Drosophila melanogaster: one gene and its partners. The protein of the gene in region 1 interacts with the protein of each later gene in a biochemical or structural test. Each region holds a gene or a part of one and is shown on either strand. Other genes may lie near its edges.

Evidence for each region.
Region 2: the proteins of eIF4G1 (region 1) and eIF4E5 form a complex in vitro, tested with the Drosophila melanogaster proteins (one study listed by BioGRID).
Region 3: the proteins of eIF4G1 (region 1) and eIF4E7 form a complex in vitro, tested with the Drosophila melanogaster proteins (one study listed by BioGRID).

Annotation. Positions count from the first base shown.
Region 1 is NC_004353.4:927,251-933,125, forward strand, and holds the start of eIF4G1 (eukaryotic translation initiation factor 4G1), read right to left. Parts: upstream 3,466-5,875; 5' UTR 3,262-3,465; exon of another isoform or gene 3,032-3,261; intron 2,882-3,031; 5' UTR 2,830-2,881; intron 2,774-2,829; 5' UTR 2,650-2,773; coding exon 2,572-2,649; intron 902-2,571; coding exon 143-901; intron 1-142.
Region 2 is NT_037436.4:7,892,354-7,897,096, reverse strand, and holds eIF4E5 (eukaryotic translation initiation factor 4E5), read right to left. Parts: upstream 2,218-4,743; 5' UTR 2,059-2,217; coding exon 1,709-2,058; intron 1,652-1,708; coding exon 1,464-1,651; intron 1,411-1,463; coding exon 1,250-1,410; 3' UTR 1,088-1,249; downstream 1-1,087. Other genes in the region: pbl (pebble), read left to right, coding at 36-185, 245-373; CG32365 (uncharacterized protein), read right to left, coding at 2,603-3,452, 3,525-3,862.
Region 3 is NC_004354.4:1,157,702-1,165,153, forward strand, and holds eIF4E7 (eukaryotic translation initiation factor 4E7), read right to left. Parts: upstream 4,689-7,452; 5' UTR 4,585-4,688; intron 2,432-4,584; 5' UTR 2,405-2,431; coding exon 1,115-2,404; 3' UTR 898-1,114; downstream 1-897.

The DNA of each region.
Region 1 (5,875 bases):
ATAAAAAATCGTATTGATATTTAATAAATTTTGGGACCTAAAGTATTTAAAAACTAATTATTAAAAAAAAGGGAGGTGAAATGAAGTTAAGAATTATTTAAAATGAATCTCTTCCTAAAGTCACAGAATTTGCAAGGTTTACCTCTGCTGTAGATGCCGGGTAACTATTATTTGATAACAAACTACTGTTATTGAAATCATACTTTTTACTAGTATTAACACAATTGACGCTAACGCCAACGATATTCTTTTCGTGCATGTAGCTTGTGCCTGCTGTAGTTGTTCCAGCTATTCCCATAGATGTTCCTATTTGCGCATTAGGCAATACTATTTGGTTGTTAATACTGACTCCAGTACAAGAACTTTTTTCACTTCCGACTCCGACGATGGACTTATTTGATACTACTGACCCACTGATGTTGCCATTTTGTTTAATGTCCTGTACATTTAGAAAGCAAACATTTCCATCTAGACTTCCAGTTAATTTTCGGTAACTGGATATGTTATAAATGGCAGTCGAATTCATATCACCCGAATTCAGTTGTCTACTATTTACTGTCAATATGCTTGAACCGTTACAGATAACCGATGACTGGGCTCTAACTGGTTCAGACGCAGATAAGCTTCTATTTACAACGTTTGTATAGCTTTGTTGATGCTGCTGTGTTTGCTGTGGGTGATGGATTGGTGGATGCTGCTGATTCGTCAAGTGTGGGGACTGTTGAGCGATCTGCGCTGATGCCTTAAGAATGGAGACCACATTGTATGCCTTATTTATCTGAAACTGAGGCTGAGCAGTGGGATGGCTATGCTGCGGTTGAAGAGGCTGATGAAGAGATTGTGGCTTTGAAGTTGGCACCTGTTGATCATACTTTTTGGTCTTTTTATTGGCTGGCAAAATCTACAACAGATCACAAGAGTGGGAACATTTTCGGACTGTAAAATTGATTTAACAATGATTAAAAAAAAATGTTGCCGAATATATAAGTTATAAAAACTATTAGATAATTGGTTAATCCTACTTTATTGCACTTAAACAAAGTATTAAAAAAACCAAAACAAACCCATTTAAAAATAAAATGAAACTGAGAAATCAAGAATCGGAATTTTGAGTAGTATTACACTTCTGCACTGTGAAATTTGAATATTATACTTATGCAGATTTTTTAATACTTTTCAGCCTCAAATTTTGTGATAAATAAATCCAGAATTAACAAATATATATAAAACATGCATTGGGTTTGATAATTTTATTAGGGTTTAGAGTTTTTGTCCTACGTCCCCTATGGACAAATAATGTTTATGGGATTTAGCTGTCTAACACAGTTCAAATGATAGATTACAAGATTAATTAATTAATAAAAAAAAAGTTGTGCGTACAAAATAAGAACACTAAATGATTAAAAACAATTAAACTATTATTTATTTTGTTATAGCTTCATTTAATTTTCCGACTGTTGCTCCTTAGTCGTCGCCGGCATGTTGACAATTAGCCTTAAAACCAAAGTTATACGCGGTCAAAAAACGGTGTATATCAAGTTGTCATTCAGAAATAAAAAGTATGAAGCTATTATCTTCTGGACTATTTTATATTTATTTTACTCGGCTGCTGATACTGATAAAGAATATATATATAATTTATATGGTCCCAAATATCTCTTTTACTGCGATTTAAATATATGCCTTATATCATTAAGCCCTTCAAAAGGACATCACTATAAAATACAATATCAAGTTGACATTTTATGAATAAAAACAACGAAACTATTATATTAGGGACTATTATATATGGACTGATTCTGTGACTTGGATATGTGAAATCATTAATCCTTTAAATCAATATAATAAAATACATTTCGAATATTTTTTTTCCCTTGGATAGATTAATCACAATGCGTTTTGAGTTTAGCTTTAAAATTACGTTGCTGAGTGTCTGCCAGTTACCAACAAACCAGATTCAGCATCCATTTTTGGAGCCACCGTTGAAATAAAAATTTTTTTAATTAATATTTTTACCGATAAAAACTATATGATTTATGTATGTTTGGAAAAACGCGGTTTTTTATAGTTTAGGTTTTAAATAAAGTACTTCATACCATGCCCGGAAGAGCTTCATTTATGAATTATGTAGCTTTACAGGACTAGAACAATTATTAGTATTCAATCAAGTTCGTTAAAAAAATTTTTAATTTTTTAATTCATTTAGTAAGTAACTTAAATAATTGTAATCGCAAACATATATTTTATAAATTTTTTAATTGAATTATATACCTTTTATACAAACCGCAATATTTATAAAACAAACATATAAAAAAATTCCACAAAAATAGCATTTTCTTTTTAAACTTTGCTGTTATTGTACGAGAAGTGTGATACTATCTTAATAGATTGTTTACATTGACTACAGCAGGCAAACTTATAAAAAATAGGTTTTAGCTCTTTTCGGAACTAGGAAAACATATTTATTTAACGAACTAATTTAAAACAATTGCAAGGAAAGTAATACAGCAAATAATGTCAAAATGTATATATGTAAATAATTTTGGAGATGTTATTTTTATATCGACTTACCATATTTTGTGCTGAATGGGGCTGCATGGCTTTATCTATATCTGATTGTGTTGGTAAAGTTGGTATAGCCTGTTGCATTACGTATGTGTATTCCTAGAGTTAGCTCTGTAGGAAATCGCCAAACGGTTAGATTTACCGTTTCATAGACGATTTCTGTGGTGATTTTGGACCCACAAATACGACGTCATTCAATCATTTGATTCTTTAATGAATATTAATGAATATTAATTGTCCACGTTTCAGTTCTGCATATTTTACCTGGAAATATATTGATATACAGCTACCAGAGAGGTCTCTGAAATTAAAAGAACTGACACGTATAAAATCATTAAATATCACAAAAGATTTCACCCAAATGTTTCAAAAATATAAAGTAGACATTTTGTAATTTATTAAGTCTAGAGCTGAAGCCCAGAGATAATTTCTATTAAACATTTGCCAATCCATCCTGGAGCCTTACTTATTTGCCGACGTTGCCGTTGTGACTTTGGAGATTTCGTTCTCACAATCACAATGGTGCATATGGTGAAAACGTGCCACGAATTCCATCGTTTACATCATTTTTAAAAAGTTAAGACACATTTCAGAATGTTAGTGGTAAAATCTTTTTTCCCTTCACTGTGCACAGTAAACTTGCAAAGTATCATGTAATATTTGTTGCCCAGTGCTCATTATTAACCATCAATTTACCTGAGCAAATGTTTGTATGTGCCTATCCGACGTGATTATGTACAAAAAATACAAATGTTAAGAATTCCACTTTAAGTGTATTTTAAAAATGTATTTATTTATAAAAATGAAGCAGTAATTCCAGCTTTATCTTTACATTCAAAAACTATTTTTTAATAATTTCCACATGCAATGTGTTCTGTTCATACGAACAGAGTTGCATTTATTATTTGAAACATCGATAGCACACAAGAAATAGTGATAACTGAAGAATATCATTATCAACGATAGTTAGGTCACATTTTTAAACGCTTCATCATTAATAATTTAATTTTTTGCTAACCATAAGTTTTTAAAAATAAAAAAAAAATCATATTTCAATGTTAATTATTTACTAAAACTACTTCATAATACGTTTATTCTATTGAGGTTTGCCAAAATTATAATAATGATTGTACATGCTATGCCAGCGTTCAATTCCTGATAATGAGCCCTTTCCGCAACATGGCTAAATAGATCATTATATCTAAGAATACAACATATGGGCAACTTTAAAACAAAATGTTAATTTCATCGTAATTAGGGTTTCTTGAACGTAAAATATAATTAGTTAATTATGGCCAAAATAAGACCCTTTCACACTGACTAAAATACATATGACAATAAAGAAATTGGTAAAAAACGATTCTATATTACATCAAAATATCGATAAATAAAAGAATTTAAATCAAAACAAAAATAATCCGTATTCAGACCCAATTATTTTATATTATTATTATATATTTTTTTTTTTTGGCACGGGTCCAACGGCGACACCTCCCGACCAACCGAACGAGGGGCGCTGCCGTGTATCGTACGCCTCGATTAGCGAGAGGATAGACGCGATATAAAAAAGAGAACAGGATCGAGGAAATGAATATAATATAAAATAACTATATTAAATATTACTGTTAGTAGGATCTAATCATAAAATAAAAAAAGGTAAAATCAATTGCTTTGTGAGCGGCAGAGAGTCAAGATTACAGATATTAGGATAAAGTCTATTATAATCAGAACATAATACTCTGTAAGGGTCACGCAACTCATAGTTAGATCTACAATGATTTAAAATAAGGAACTGAGAACTGAAATAAGGAACTGAGAACTACTACTGAGAACTACTTCGAACTGAGAAGTTAAGCCGACTAATCAAGTCAGAACTCTTAACATCCCCACGAATAAGCTTACAAATAAAGACTGTTCCAAGCATAGTTCTACCAAAGACACTAGAATAACAAGATGCGTAGCGGCCATACATTGGTTTGGCACTATGCAGCCAATTTTTTAGTGACGGCCAAAATTGCTCTCTTTCCGCTCGCTCCCGCTGAGAGCATAAGAAATCTAAAAATAGAATTTGCTTGCTTGTGTGAGTAAAAACAAGAGACGAGAACGCATATATGTGTGCGTGTTGTGCTAGAAGACGATTTTCGGACCGAAATCAATTCTGATCGAAAAAACGAATTTACATTGTACATATTAGGGTAGTTTTTGCCAATTTCGTAGCAATATGATAAAATAAAATAATTTTTAACTGACTATTATCATTTTAAAGCTTTTTAAATTTGTTTGTTAAAATCGCCGCTCGAATTAGCTACCGTTTACACATTTATATTTATGTTTAATTCTAATTTGTCTCTCATCTGACAATTTTTTAAGAAAGCGAAATATTTTTTTTTTTAAACACTTTTAATGTTAATGTTACATCATATAAAGTCAAATGACATAATAAATATAGTAAATAATTAAATATGATAACTGTTTATTGCAAAAGTCATATCAAAGACACTAGAATTATTCTAGTGTCTTTGCTTTGTTCATATCTTGAAGCACGAAGTACGGACACAAGCACTCAACAATCATTGCCTTATTAATTTTTCACACGCCGCAAGATGAATACTCTAATGACAAATATTCTTATATAAAGTCATTTTTGAAATTTATTTTTGTGATAATATGTACATAGATTTGGCTATTTCTAATCTATTTTCATATAATAATAACGTTAAGGCAATGCAAAACAAGAATTTTTCGCATGGTGCCAATTGATCAAAAATAATATAGATTTAAAGTCAAAGAACTTCTAAGGTGAAGGGCATATTTTGTGAAATTTACAATGCATGAGCGAGCATACGTGTGCACACATACAGTTGTCTGCTATCACTTTATGCGATGAAAAGAGCTGTTCGCTGTAGCACTCTCCGCTCTCTCGCTCTCTAACAAAAATTCGAGAGAGCCTGGAGCCACCTCTAGAGCCACGGCGAAAAAATCGTGTGCCAAAAAATCGTATGGCGTTACGCATCTTGTTATTCTAGTGTCTTTGGTTCTACGGTTAGCTAGGGACGGTAAATTAAATTAACGTAGTGTACTGGAATAAGGAGGTAATATACGGTTTGCATCCCACTTTAGGCGCCGCAAGCAAAACGTAATAAGTTTTTTTGGACCGATTCAATGCGGTCCGAGTGGACTGCGTATTGTGGACTCCAAACAGGTGATAGTGATCCGTACTCGAGAATCGGACGGACTAACGAAATAAATAAGGTTTTAGTCAATTAAGGATCATCAAATTCCTTAGACCACCTTTTTATAAAACCATGCA
Region 2 (4,743 bases), on another chromosome or scaffold:
TAAAACTTTTCTAATACTAATTTTCGTTCTTTTAGGTGGGTCGTGCTTTCTCCTTTAACAAAACGCCCAACAAACTGAAACGGGCCGTATCCACGATGATGACTTCGCCGTTTGGCAGCACCAACTCTCTAACACCTGCCTCTCAATTGGCCCAGATGCGTTTGGCCAGCTGCACGAATATAAATGTGTGTACAACTACAGCATCGATGTGAACAAAAACTGATGTATAATTATATTTTTATAGGAGGTTGATGATGAGGACTGTGCAAGCATGCGAAGCAGTTCGCCGTCAACACAATCCGAGATGCTAGTGGTACCGCCACTTTCGGTGCAACCCACGCGGAAAAACAAGGCCGTTGTGGGCCGCATTTAGAGCTGATGATGATGATGACTCCACAGTCAAATTGTGTATTCCATTTTGGAAGTCTCTTTTTGGAGAGACTCGCTTGCAGTGCTATTCCTTGAGCATTGGTCGCCCATGTCCGAGTGCATATACAAGCTTCGAATTCGTAATCTCACAACACAACCAGAAACAAATTATCGAGCGTCCAATATTGTTTAGATTGTAAAATGTATTGTTAAGTTGCACCTGTCGATAGGAAGGCTCGCAAATGTTGAAGCGTTTGCCCGAGCTGTCGATTGATCATGATTAACTTGTAAATAGTTCTCCATATGTGTACTCCCGTGCCCGTATAATTGTGTCGCGTCGCTAAATGTAATCAACTACTCATTGCAGTGACTAGGGATCGAATTCACGCACGCACCGAACGATCGATTCGGATGGTTTTCGGTCGGATGATCGCCACACCGCAACAAGCTGTGAATGTTTACTGAGTAAATTTTTTAAAAACCCTATCTTACCATATTGATTATAACTCAACGATTTTGCTTGAGTAGGCAATTACGACCCTAAGTCGTAAGGCGTTCAAAGCATGAAGATGTTTAAGTTAATATATGAACAATGATTAAAGGAAAACATTTTTAAATCAAAGCATTTTTTATTCTTAGCTTTGAAGCTGCAAAGTAGGCAACGAATTACACAAACTTCGACAGTTACCACAATCTCACCCGAAAAGATGCAATTGTTGCGCATAGAAAATTAGGTTTTTAATTTAGTCTATAGAACAATTTTGTAGGGGCAATTCCAAGTAAATATTCATATACACCAAGCCAATCATATCTTCCACACTTACGAATCTGGTGTACAAAAATAAAAATATACTAACGTAGAGGACCTAAACAATCGCTTTCAGAGTGTATAAACCGATTTGACGCCCGAATTGAATTTGGACATTGCATCGGAATGAAGTTGATACTGCAAACTATGCGATTGCAAATGAAGGAGTATCTTCAGCTTCTGGCCGATCTCCAGAATGGCCATTTCGTTACTCCCGTTGGCAGTCCAAACCGCTGTAATAGATACAGTTTTTTATCAATGTGCAGAACACATTTGATAAACTTACAGATTTTGTTGCTCTTGTTACGTATATTGATGACAGCTCCGCAGATCTCGTCGGAGTATTCAAAATTTTGGCCCACCATCAGCAGTAGAATGTCCAGCCAAATTTGATCCAATTCCGCTTTGGCACTCTTACTCACGGTGACCAGCCAGCGACCACCCTTGATGTTGGCTTCATCCTCCCACATGGGTCTTTGGGAGTAGAGGATTTAAGTTAGCATCTCTCAATGAACAATGATTTATTCGTACTTTATGCCCTTCTTGAACACGGAGTAATCGCATCCAATCTTCAGCTCCGCTGGGGTCTTGATGGTATGGTACAAGCTCCAGAAGGTCTCCACACTGTCAATCTCGGTAATCTCGTTTAGCATGTCCTTCCAGTGCTTGGTGCGATCGTTTTCCAAATACCACAAAGTCCACACATGCTCCAAAGGATGCTTGTACTCGACTTGGTATATCTCTTCATCGATAGGTTCTGGGCTATTGCTCTCCAGTGGAACACCTTCGTGGTGATGATGATGCTTATGGATACTATTCAGCTGATGTTGCTGATCCTGCTGCTTCATAATATCAAAACTTTGCACTTGTGCACTGGCCATGTTGTTGGTTGACTTGTTTTTTTTTTTTCGATACGAACAGGTAACCTTAATTTATTTGCTGACGGCTGTGTTCTCAACGAATTTTGTCGCGATTCGAGTGGGAATTGCTTACTAATAACCAAAAATACTTTAGCACATTTTTCTAGACCTAAACGAAACCTGTCGAAAAGAAGGAAATGAAATGACAATGACACCTGGGTGTAAGCATACTATGCTGGTTTTTTCTTTTAATATAAATTATTTTTATTCATTTATAAATACTGCAAAACTTAAGACAAATCAATTTACATATTGTTAACATAGAAATGCGCGCTTGGTCCTTAAAAAAAAAAATAATAACATACAAAATGAAAATGTATGCACTCTATTCCAATGGTCAATTAAACACTAAGCGGAGGCACTAGAGAAAACAAATCGAAACAGCTACGGGGTGTTCAAAATAAAAAAAAACACGGTTTTCGTAACCATATTTGAAAAGATTCTCAATTCTTTTAGAAATACGTTAATAAATTATCTCAAGGCTGGTTTTGAATCATCCACCCGTCTAGACCCATAAAACAGCGGCTGCATCCTCGTTGGACAAAGTGGAGAAGCGCTGGTAGCGATTCGCATTGCGATAGGTTTTCGAGGGCGATGGAGCGGTTGATATCTGAGCTTGAACCTGTACTTGAACTTGAGTCTGATTTTGCATGGGCAGCCCCACCATATTTAATCCGGACTTTAGTGTGGAGTTCCTGCTGTCCGAGGACATGGACAGGCGTCGCTGGTTTCCATTCATCAAGGTGGAACTCAGGGGCAAGCCGACATCGTGAAAGGAGCTAATCGAACTGAAGCCACTCTCATCCTCGGTACTGGAACCGCTCTGCTTATTGCTGGTGGTTTTGTTATTGCTATTGCTGATGGCTGTGTTGCTGGCGGTGGTCTGTGTCTGCGTCTCCTCATCCGTTTCCACTTTCGAGGAGGAGGATGCCGTCGACGAGATGGTGGAATGCACGGAACTGTCGGTGGAGCTGCGCAACGATAGCCTCGAGTCGCGCATGTTGTTGGCCCGCAGAAAGATGAGTTCCGCATTTGATTTCCCGCCCGGTGATGGAGTCTCCAGTGTGGCACTCATGATACTGGTGGAATTGTGCAATGGTGGCGTCAGTAGTGTCATCACCGAACTGGTTTTCCCCTTGCATAGGCGGTGATTTCCCGAGGGCAGCGATGAAATGGAAGCGAGCGAGTGGCGCGGCTGCGTGAGATCTGGTTGCTGTTCCGAGGTGTGCAAAAGATTCCTTATGGTTCTGGCCAAACGAAAGGCCTCCTGATTCAGCTTTTCCTCGGCTGCCTCAGGAGCCGATAGACGTGACTTGCAACCGCCACTGCCTCCAGACTTCTTCGGGGATCGACGCCTTTGGCAGAGAGAAGACATTTCGTTATTAATTGTTTGAAAATTATTAGCACTGCTATTGATCTCCCCTTACCATGTAAAATCCTTGAAGGCATTATAGCTTCCAGCTGGTGCAATCGTCTCGTAATTGTGCTCCTCGTCCATGGCATGCATTGATTTATTCAACATCAAATTGGTGCTGCTCCGGGCGCGTAGATATGAAGCTGATCCGCCGCTGGAGGCGTCATCATCCCGAGCATCGCTCTGCAGGGAGGTGTTGCCCACTCCGTGGACATGATGCAGACTCTTGGAGCGGGCAATCTGCTCTCCATTGCGTTGGGTCTGCTGGAGTTGTTGCTGCAACTGGTAGCGCTCAAAGAAGCGGGCCACCTCCTCCATCACCGCTCGGTACATCTCGCAATTGGTTTCGGTCTGAAATTTAGGATTATAAAGTGATTTAGAATACTTAGGGATTGATAAGTGGTAGTTTTTACGCATAATGAAGATAGATTAGATAGATATTGTATCTTTCTTTGGGAATGTAACTTTAGAAACGTGTGGCCCATATTTTAGGTGAGCTTTCAGCTCTTCATGTAAATCTCATTCAATCGACCTTTCTCCGGCTAACTCAGCTTGTATTTCCCCTCCAAAACTTACAGCTTTGCTCCAATGTGCCAGGTCATTGCTTTGACACATTGATAATGCATTTGAACCGATGACTTTAATTTATTATTTATGTTAATTGTAAATGATTTTGCTTGGCAGCAAACATTTGTAGAGCAGCAGCATCGGCATCAGCATCATCATCAGCCTATAAAAACTTTCACTTGATTTTTTATCGCGCCCCTTTACTCTGCGCGCATTTCTCTACTTCATTGTGCTGTGGGTCTTTGGGCCATATCAGCATCATTGGCCAAGTTGATTGGGGGGGAATGTCGCTTTTGGTTAACTTCTGTGGGCCAAATTGTCTAATTATCAAATGCCATTCGAGTCTATGGCGCTTGCCAAATTGGCAGAGACCTCAAAAAGGCGTTAAGATTGCCGATTGCCATCACCTGGCAGGCAGGCACACGCCCACCTCCCGGGCCATTTGAAATTTGGCCAAAACGGGTGGGCATGCAGTTTATATGTACATATATATGTGTGTATATCTGCTGGTTTTTTGGGGAGGCTTCACACGATGCCAAAATAGTTGGTGTCTGGCTGATTATGTAAGTTGGCGATGCAGTCGTTGCTATTGCTATTGCAACGCTTGGAAATTGTTGCTAATTTTTCATTGGACGTTTTTCCGTTTTCGGAGGTTTTCCTACTGC
Region 3 (7,452 bases), on another chromosome or scaffold:
CGGACTAGTCCGTAAGCCCCCTTACCCACCATCCCCCACCGTTTGGGATCGCAAACCAAATCGATACAATGGCTTCTCGCTTTCGCTTTCCTCGGTTTTCCATCTCTAATAAGTGGGTGCCCAACTACAACGGTTGGTGGCCATAGAAAATCGTTAAGGTGTTTAATCAATGGCTCTGGCTCGTTGGCACAATGGAATGAAATTAAGTGCCATAAATCAATGGCGAAATATAGGTGAGCTCGCTTTTATGGTGCGCACTTGGGCCAAATCACCTGGGCCTTGACCTTTTTCGTGGAGTCACCAGAATATTTGGTAAATAGTAAATCCTCGCAAGAGTGGCTAAAAAAAGCTCAGGAAGAAATTAGAAGGTAGGAAAATGGTCACAGCAAGGCACAGAAAATACATTAAGCACATTAAAGCCCGTCAAATGGAAAAGTGGCCAAGAACAGCAACAAAAGGAATTCAGTGCCAGGAGAACGCACCTGCCTCCACTCCAACATCATTGGCTCCCCTTACGTGGTCACCCAAAGCAGTCACAATAAAATGCCAACTGCCAATAAATGCCAATAAATCAAACAATTGAGCACGGCCAAGTTGTGTGACGCCGTGCGCCAAATAAGTCCAACGGCCAATGTCCAATGTCCAAATGTCCCATGTCCGCTGACCGATGTGAAAGCGAACAAAAAGCTAGCAACCAACTTCTGAATGCCCGCCCCAATGGTTAGCAGTGGAGCAGACAAAGAACATCCAATACACCGATTGGAACTCAGGAATCGAGACAAACCATGTTGCATGTTCTTGGAATCGGGTTAAATTAGTAAAGAAGGTGCATAGTTAGAAACATTTCGCAGTCTCTCTCCAACACTCTCCAATTTCACACTTTAAAACAAACAACTTCTTGACCAAATAGTTATGTATTTATTTCGTCGCTCTATAGGAGCAACATTCAAATTTTTATGTACAACGTGTACGTGTACGGATGGTTTGACTAGAGATTTGGAACCCAACTAACTATCGATCGATGGCTGATCACACCTGCTTGACATTTCAAGTTCTTGTGAAAAAATACCGAAAATACTGAAAATGTTTCGATTCGCAATTGTCTGATGAGAACCTATACAGTGTATATTCTCTTCACAGTTGATCCCAGTTTATCCTTGGAGTCCTTGTGCAACTGATACTCCAGCACGTATATGTTGTCCATGCGTAGAACCTTGCGTAAAATGCGTCCAATTTCAAGGACTGTAGTCTGATTTCCCCCGTCAGCGTTCCAAATAGAGATCTTGTTCGACTTTCCGCGAATATTGACCACAACGCCACAAAGATCGTCCGAGTGCTTACAGGCCTCTCCAATCAGACAGAGCATGGCGTCCATCCAGAAACTGTCCAGAGCCATCTTGGCGCTCTTGGTCAAGTTGATGACCCAGCGTCCTCCATTGACATTGGCCTCATCCTCCCACATGGGTCGAATGCCCTTCTTGAACAGGGAGTAGTCACTGCCCAGCATAAGCTCGGATGGGGGCTTGATGTGAGTGATCAGGCTCCAAAACTTCTCCACGGTATCGAAGCTTGTAACCTTGTGCAGCATTTCTTCCCAACTTTTATTTCGATCGTTCTCTAGATACCACAGAGTCCAGCAGTTGTTGAGTGGATGTTGAGGATCCTCGACCTCCAAAAGTTCGGCGTTCTCCGCCGCGATGGTCAGATCATCATCACATTTATTGTTCAGTGACAGAAATTCTAGTGAATTGTCAAAAGCGACCACCGCATCTTCTTTTTTGGCCGGTGGACATGTGTTCTGTTTAATCCTGGGCTCGAGCCTCAAGCTCAAAAGCTTCTGCTCGGATAACCGCATTAGGACCTTCTGCCCTAAAAGATTTTCTTGTGTGATTATCTTTCCCTGCATATTCTTTTCGATTAGCTTCTTGTCCTGCAGATCCTTGTCGAGCACATTCTTCCTATATTGTGCACTAGTCGACTGCTCCTGTTCAGGGCTATTTTCTTTCTGCTGGACCATCTGTTTTCCTTGGCCTTTACCCTTCTCATTGTCATCATTTCCCGTCGACTTTCCATCTTTGCCCGGATTGTTGCTTCGACTGCTCTTGCTCGTCTGACTGGGAGTGCGTGGCGCATTCTTTTGATTCTTCTTGCCCTTCCGGTTCCCCTTGCCACGTTTTTGGGGCTCTGATGGCGACGTTTTGTTTGGATCATTCATCGGTTCTTGGGTCTTTTCTGGTTGAGTATCTTCAGTGGATTGAGGAGCTGCAGCAGGCTGGGTAACATCAGTTGGTGACTCCACTTTTTGGGGACCTTGTGTGGGATATTCATTGTTGTTCGCACAGCTTTTAAACATTGTTCTCGGATTGGCAAAGTCCCTCATCCTGTAAAAGCTGTTGGGAAGCATGGCGGCTTTGTTCGAGGTCAGCAACGGCTGTAGAGTTATACGGAAATGGCGAGGTTAGCGCTATGTTTAAACAAACAAATCTAACAAAAAAAAGGGTTAATATAATGGCGATTTTTGGGATCTTTCATTTTCGTAGCTTCCTATACAATTATATATATGATGAATCCACAAAGCCAAGCCAAACGCTCTTTCTGAACTTCCGACTAATGAGGCAAACAAGCCAACATGCCCCTTTTCTCTAAGACGTGAGCTGGAAATTTCTTCTTTGGAAGCACGAAAGGAAAAACTGACCAAGACCAAGGGACGTGTGCAGAAGTTGGCAACTTTAGCAACAAATATTTACACACCCCCCGAACTGAATGATTTGAGTGGGTGCAAAACCCCAAACACACGGGTGTAAGGTAACACAGCACGCATTTCTTATTAGCTGGGTCAAGTTGTGCTTGCCCCTTGGAAATAACCGAGTAAAAGCGTTTTTCACACGCCAAAATCTCCGATAGAAAAGATTACGATGCCTTGGTATTTACGCATCTTTTAAAATCATTAAAAATTCTCTACATTTACGATATGCAGCGGACGAAGGAATCTTTATGTAATGGCATCACAAAAGTAAACCACCAGGAGAACAAACTTTGATTTGACTCTGGCTGCCATAAGTTAAAATGGGGTCAAAAGGACTCGAATTTATGAGTGAGAAAAAATCAATCAGAAATTGGAATCAGAAACAGAATCCAAGGCGTGGCAAATGTTTGAGCGGACTTGGACTTTGAGCGAGTGTTGTGCTTTCACGCTTTTGGCAAGCAGTTTATGGCCATTTTATTTGACCCGATTTTGTTTTAATGGAATATCTGTGCCTTAACCATGGACTTCATATGTACATTTGTATCACTTGGCATGGGCTAAGAACTGTACAGATATGGGAATCTCCTTTCACTTCTGCCATACAAATTAGGGAAACAACAAAGGCAACACATTGCAGGAGGTTTTCCTTCTTAAAAGCCGTTTAGGGATCTCATACCCGACATTTCCAAATGTTCCTCTTTTAACTTAAATGACATCAAAATGAAAAGCAGGGCCAAAACAGAAACAGAAACTACAAGACGTGCGGGTGCACTTAGCGAAAGTATTACAGAGATCAACTAAATTTTATCGCGACAGTAGTTTAGATTATAGCATGTAATGAACTGCTTTTGAATCTTTATGTCACTGTACTTTGGCGATCTAGATTCATTTCAATGAATAATTTACTTATGGGAGTAGTCGAAAGCCACAATAGAAGGCACCTTGGATTTCTCTCAGTTCCCGCAAAGCAGTTTCGCCCTTCTCAGTTCCTATCGATGCAATTTTTTATTTGGCCCGATGCGATGTAAATATTGCATTAGACGGGGCCAAAGTGTTGGGCAAATTTATTGGCAGCACATAAATCGAGGACTCGCCCTCAACGGGTCGGTTGTCGTCTGTTGAAAAAGTAAATGTTCTAAAGGTAAATATGCACACAGCGAGGAAGTGGCACTCATTCAGTTGAACGTTGGAAGTGGGAAGGAAGTTGAAGGAAGGTGGACTACTCTACATTGGCATCTGTGCTCGCCTTCTGTGACCTATGACCTGTGAGCCATCGTCGCTGGCTGAAATGCCGAAATGTTGAAATGTTCAAATGCCGGCTGCTGACTGCTAGCTGCCTCGAAAAACTGATGAAAATGCAAAAATGTTGTTCCCAGTCCTTGCCTTTCCCCTCGGCTGCTATGCCAATTTTAATTAACAAAAAACATGAGCAGCTCCCTGTTGCGTTGTGTGTGTTTTGTTTAGCTCTGTTTTGTTTTGTTTTGTTTAGTTTAGTTCAGCTCTGTTCTGTTTTGTTTTGTTTGGCTAGTTTGAACTTTGTTCCTCGTATTCTTGTATGCCGGTTGCACTAGACGGGTGATGGGGTTAAGCAGGGGTAGCTCCATCCCCACTACCGTCAATCCGCTCAATTGCTCTAGCCCAACTTTTTGCATACTTTCGGGGATTCCCAGTAATCGGCGGCAGCCAATGAAATCTAAGCTGACCGACAGACAAGACATACTACATACGACAAGGAACACACTACCTTATTTGTAAACGAAGATGACGAAGGAGGAGAAACCCAACGAACAGTTCTAATGCCATAATTAATCACTACGAATTGGGTCTACACAACTTACCTAACGCACTGCGAATATCCGAATACCGCTTAGGTCAATCAAAATATATCAACAAATAAATCGCAATGGTTTTGTAAATAAAATTTGACTAAAACCCGGTTGTTCTCACAACGAAGTGTCGTCCAAAACTGATTTATATTTCTAGACTTACTTTGCTCTGAAAAATGACTTTTGGTAACAAAAGTCCGGTCCCACTTCGGTACTATTCTGCATTTTTTCCCATCACTGGGATCGGATTCGCGAGTATATGGCCTAATCCGAACTCCACTAAGCGCTCCTGGATTACAGCTAAAGCATTTAATTAAAAAATTGCATTGCTTTTGTTTTTGCGCGCTGCCATAATTTGCATGCCAACAACACTATGGCCTGCCTGTTTGCTCATATCATTAATTCGCAATTTGGCCAAATAATAATGAATATTTTCATCTTGTGTCGCTTTTTGCCCTGTTCAGTTCAGTTCAGTTAGCTCTGAGCGTGTTTTTGTTCACATTTGTATATTTGTTCATGTCCGTTCAGACATTCGCATTCAAATGTTTTGCGTTTTGTGTTCTTGTGCAATGCAATTAATTAGAAGTGGATAAATGGTGCATGAGTGTGCGCAAATTAAATTAAATTCTATGTGCATTTTTGCATTTTGCCAGCGAATGAATCGCTCTGAAAAAGTCATTTGGAGTTGAAATGCAAACACGGCATTCTGAAATCATCAAGCATTATGAGAATGCATAAACTGAAATTGAACCATAAACGCATGCCCCCCGCAAGCGGATTGCGGGTATTATCATTATGAAATGCTAAATCGTGTAAAATATTTAAAGAGTCGTTAGCAGTTGCATTACGCAAAAAAGCAACACATCAAATACAAACATCCCAATGCATCAAAAAGGCAATCAGAGGGCGGTTGTGGCGTCGGTGAGTCCACCTCCAACCCGACCAACAGTTCGTGGCCGACTGAAGCAAACGACAAGGATTTCCCAGGACCTGCTCGATCGAGCAACAGAGGGACAGGCAACTTAACAGACAACCGTGGAAACTTAACAGCTGTTGTAGGCAACTCATAGACGGAATCATGAAGAATATTGTGCCAAAATACAGCATTTTCTTTTATTGCTTGCCCAAATAATCACATGATAAACCCACAAAGAAGCCAGATATCAGTAATTTAAATAACTTTGGCACAGCTTAAAAGCCATAAATACATGCATACAGCGTTACACGCACTTGCACTTGCGGTGCATATAATAAGCCTCAGTTTTTGGAAAATCCCTCGCCTTCACACATACCACGAACTTGGGATCTGTGGATGGGACTATTGCCATCAATAGCCTGGCAGAGGGCTATCAATGAAAATCAATGTTCATCATATCGGGGCCGCACTTCACTGAAGGCAATCGTCTGTTTTTTCTGGCCAGGAGCTCTTTCAGCGGAAACGAATGCATTTCCTCGCGGATCCATTCCAATCGCTGCTCCCAAGAAGGCACTAAAATGGTAGGTGGGCTCCTTAAATGTACATTCTGATATTGACACACTTTTAATACACTCTGACCCCAGCGAAAGCTTTTCCTAATTGGAAGTTTTTCTTACTTTGCCTCCGATCTACGAGTAGTTCATCAAATATATCCACATTCGACCGCCTCTGAAGCCGGGCAGCACCATCGTAGCTGTCCAAAAGGAGTCCCAAAAGGAGGAGTAACTTGATGAAAATTATCACGAACAAAACGCGGAACAGGCGTGTGTAGCTAGCCGACATATCGAATTTTGAATGATTCGGAACATACCGTCAAAAGCCAGAGTCACCGCGGCCTCGACATCTGTTCAAAACTGGTGGCGAAATGTTTTCTTTATCCGTCGACTTGGAGCTGTGACCTTATCGATGGAAACTTGTAAAGTCGTACTGGAAAAACACTAAAGCCCCAAACTGTGTTCTGTGTTCAGATAAACAAAAACACTAAAGAAGTTTGCTAATTATTGAGCTAAGGGACACATTCAACCTAAGCTGAAAAAATTACAAGTAGAAATTCACTATTTCTACGTATACCCAAGTTTAATAGGTAGAGCAACACATCGACCAGGAAATGCGTCCAAAAACAGGCGACAGGACCGGAAACCAAAAACGAAATGCAGACAGCAACTAAAACTCAAGCAGACACCAAAACCAGCCAAGCGGAATCAGGCGCAAGTTTTAAGAATAACAAACAAGAATAGGGCGACTCACGTGTGGCTTCGTTGCAAGGATCCGCAGAAAGTTGGCACAAGGTGTGCAATAGACACCGGGAACCCCAGCCCAGTCCCATGCCAAAACCCAAATACGAGTACAAGTAAGCGGCAAAATACTGAGTGCACACGAAAACGCACCTGGGCGCAAATGAATGATGATGATGTTGCCACAACAGCCGCAGGCAGAAGCAGCAGTAGCAGTTTCTTTCACAAGGTTCTCAACAGTGTCAAAAGATGCCATCGCCGTGGATTAATATTGTGTGGATCAACTGTTTTACTTGGTTTAAGTCATTTTTGTTCGAAGTAAGCCCAGTGAACTGAACTTAAATGTTAAAATTGAAGCTATTTACTTTAATGCGCCGTTCTCTGCGCTTCTCAAAAATCCAACTGTATGCACATCGCAACGCTTTAAAAATTTGCTTACCTCTAAGCGCCGTTCTCGCGTGCCTCATATACAAGCATTGCACCGCATCAGTAATTTAATGACTTTTAAGCGCCGTTCTCTGCGCTTCTCAAAAATCCAAGTGTATGCACATTGTAACTCTTTAAAGATTTAATTACTTTTAAGCGCCATTCACTGGGCTTCTCAAAGTCCAAGCATTGGACCACATTAATAGTTGAATTACCTTTAAGCGCCGTTCTCTGCGCTTCTCA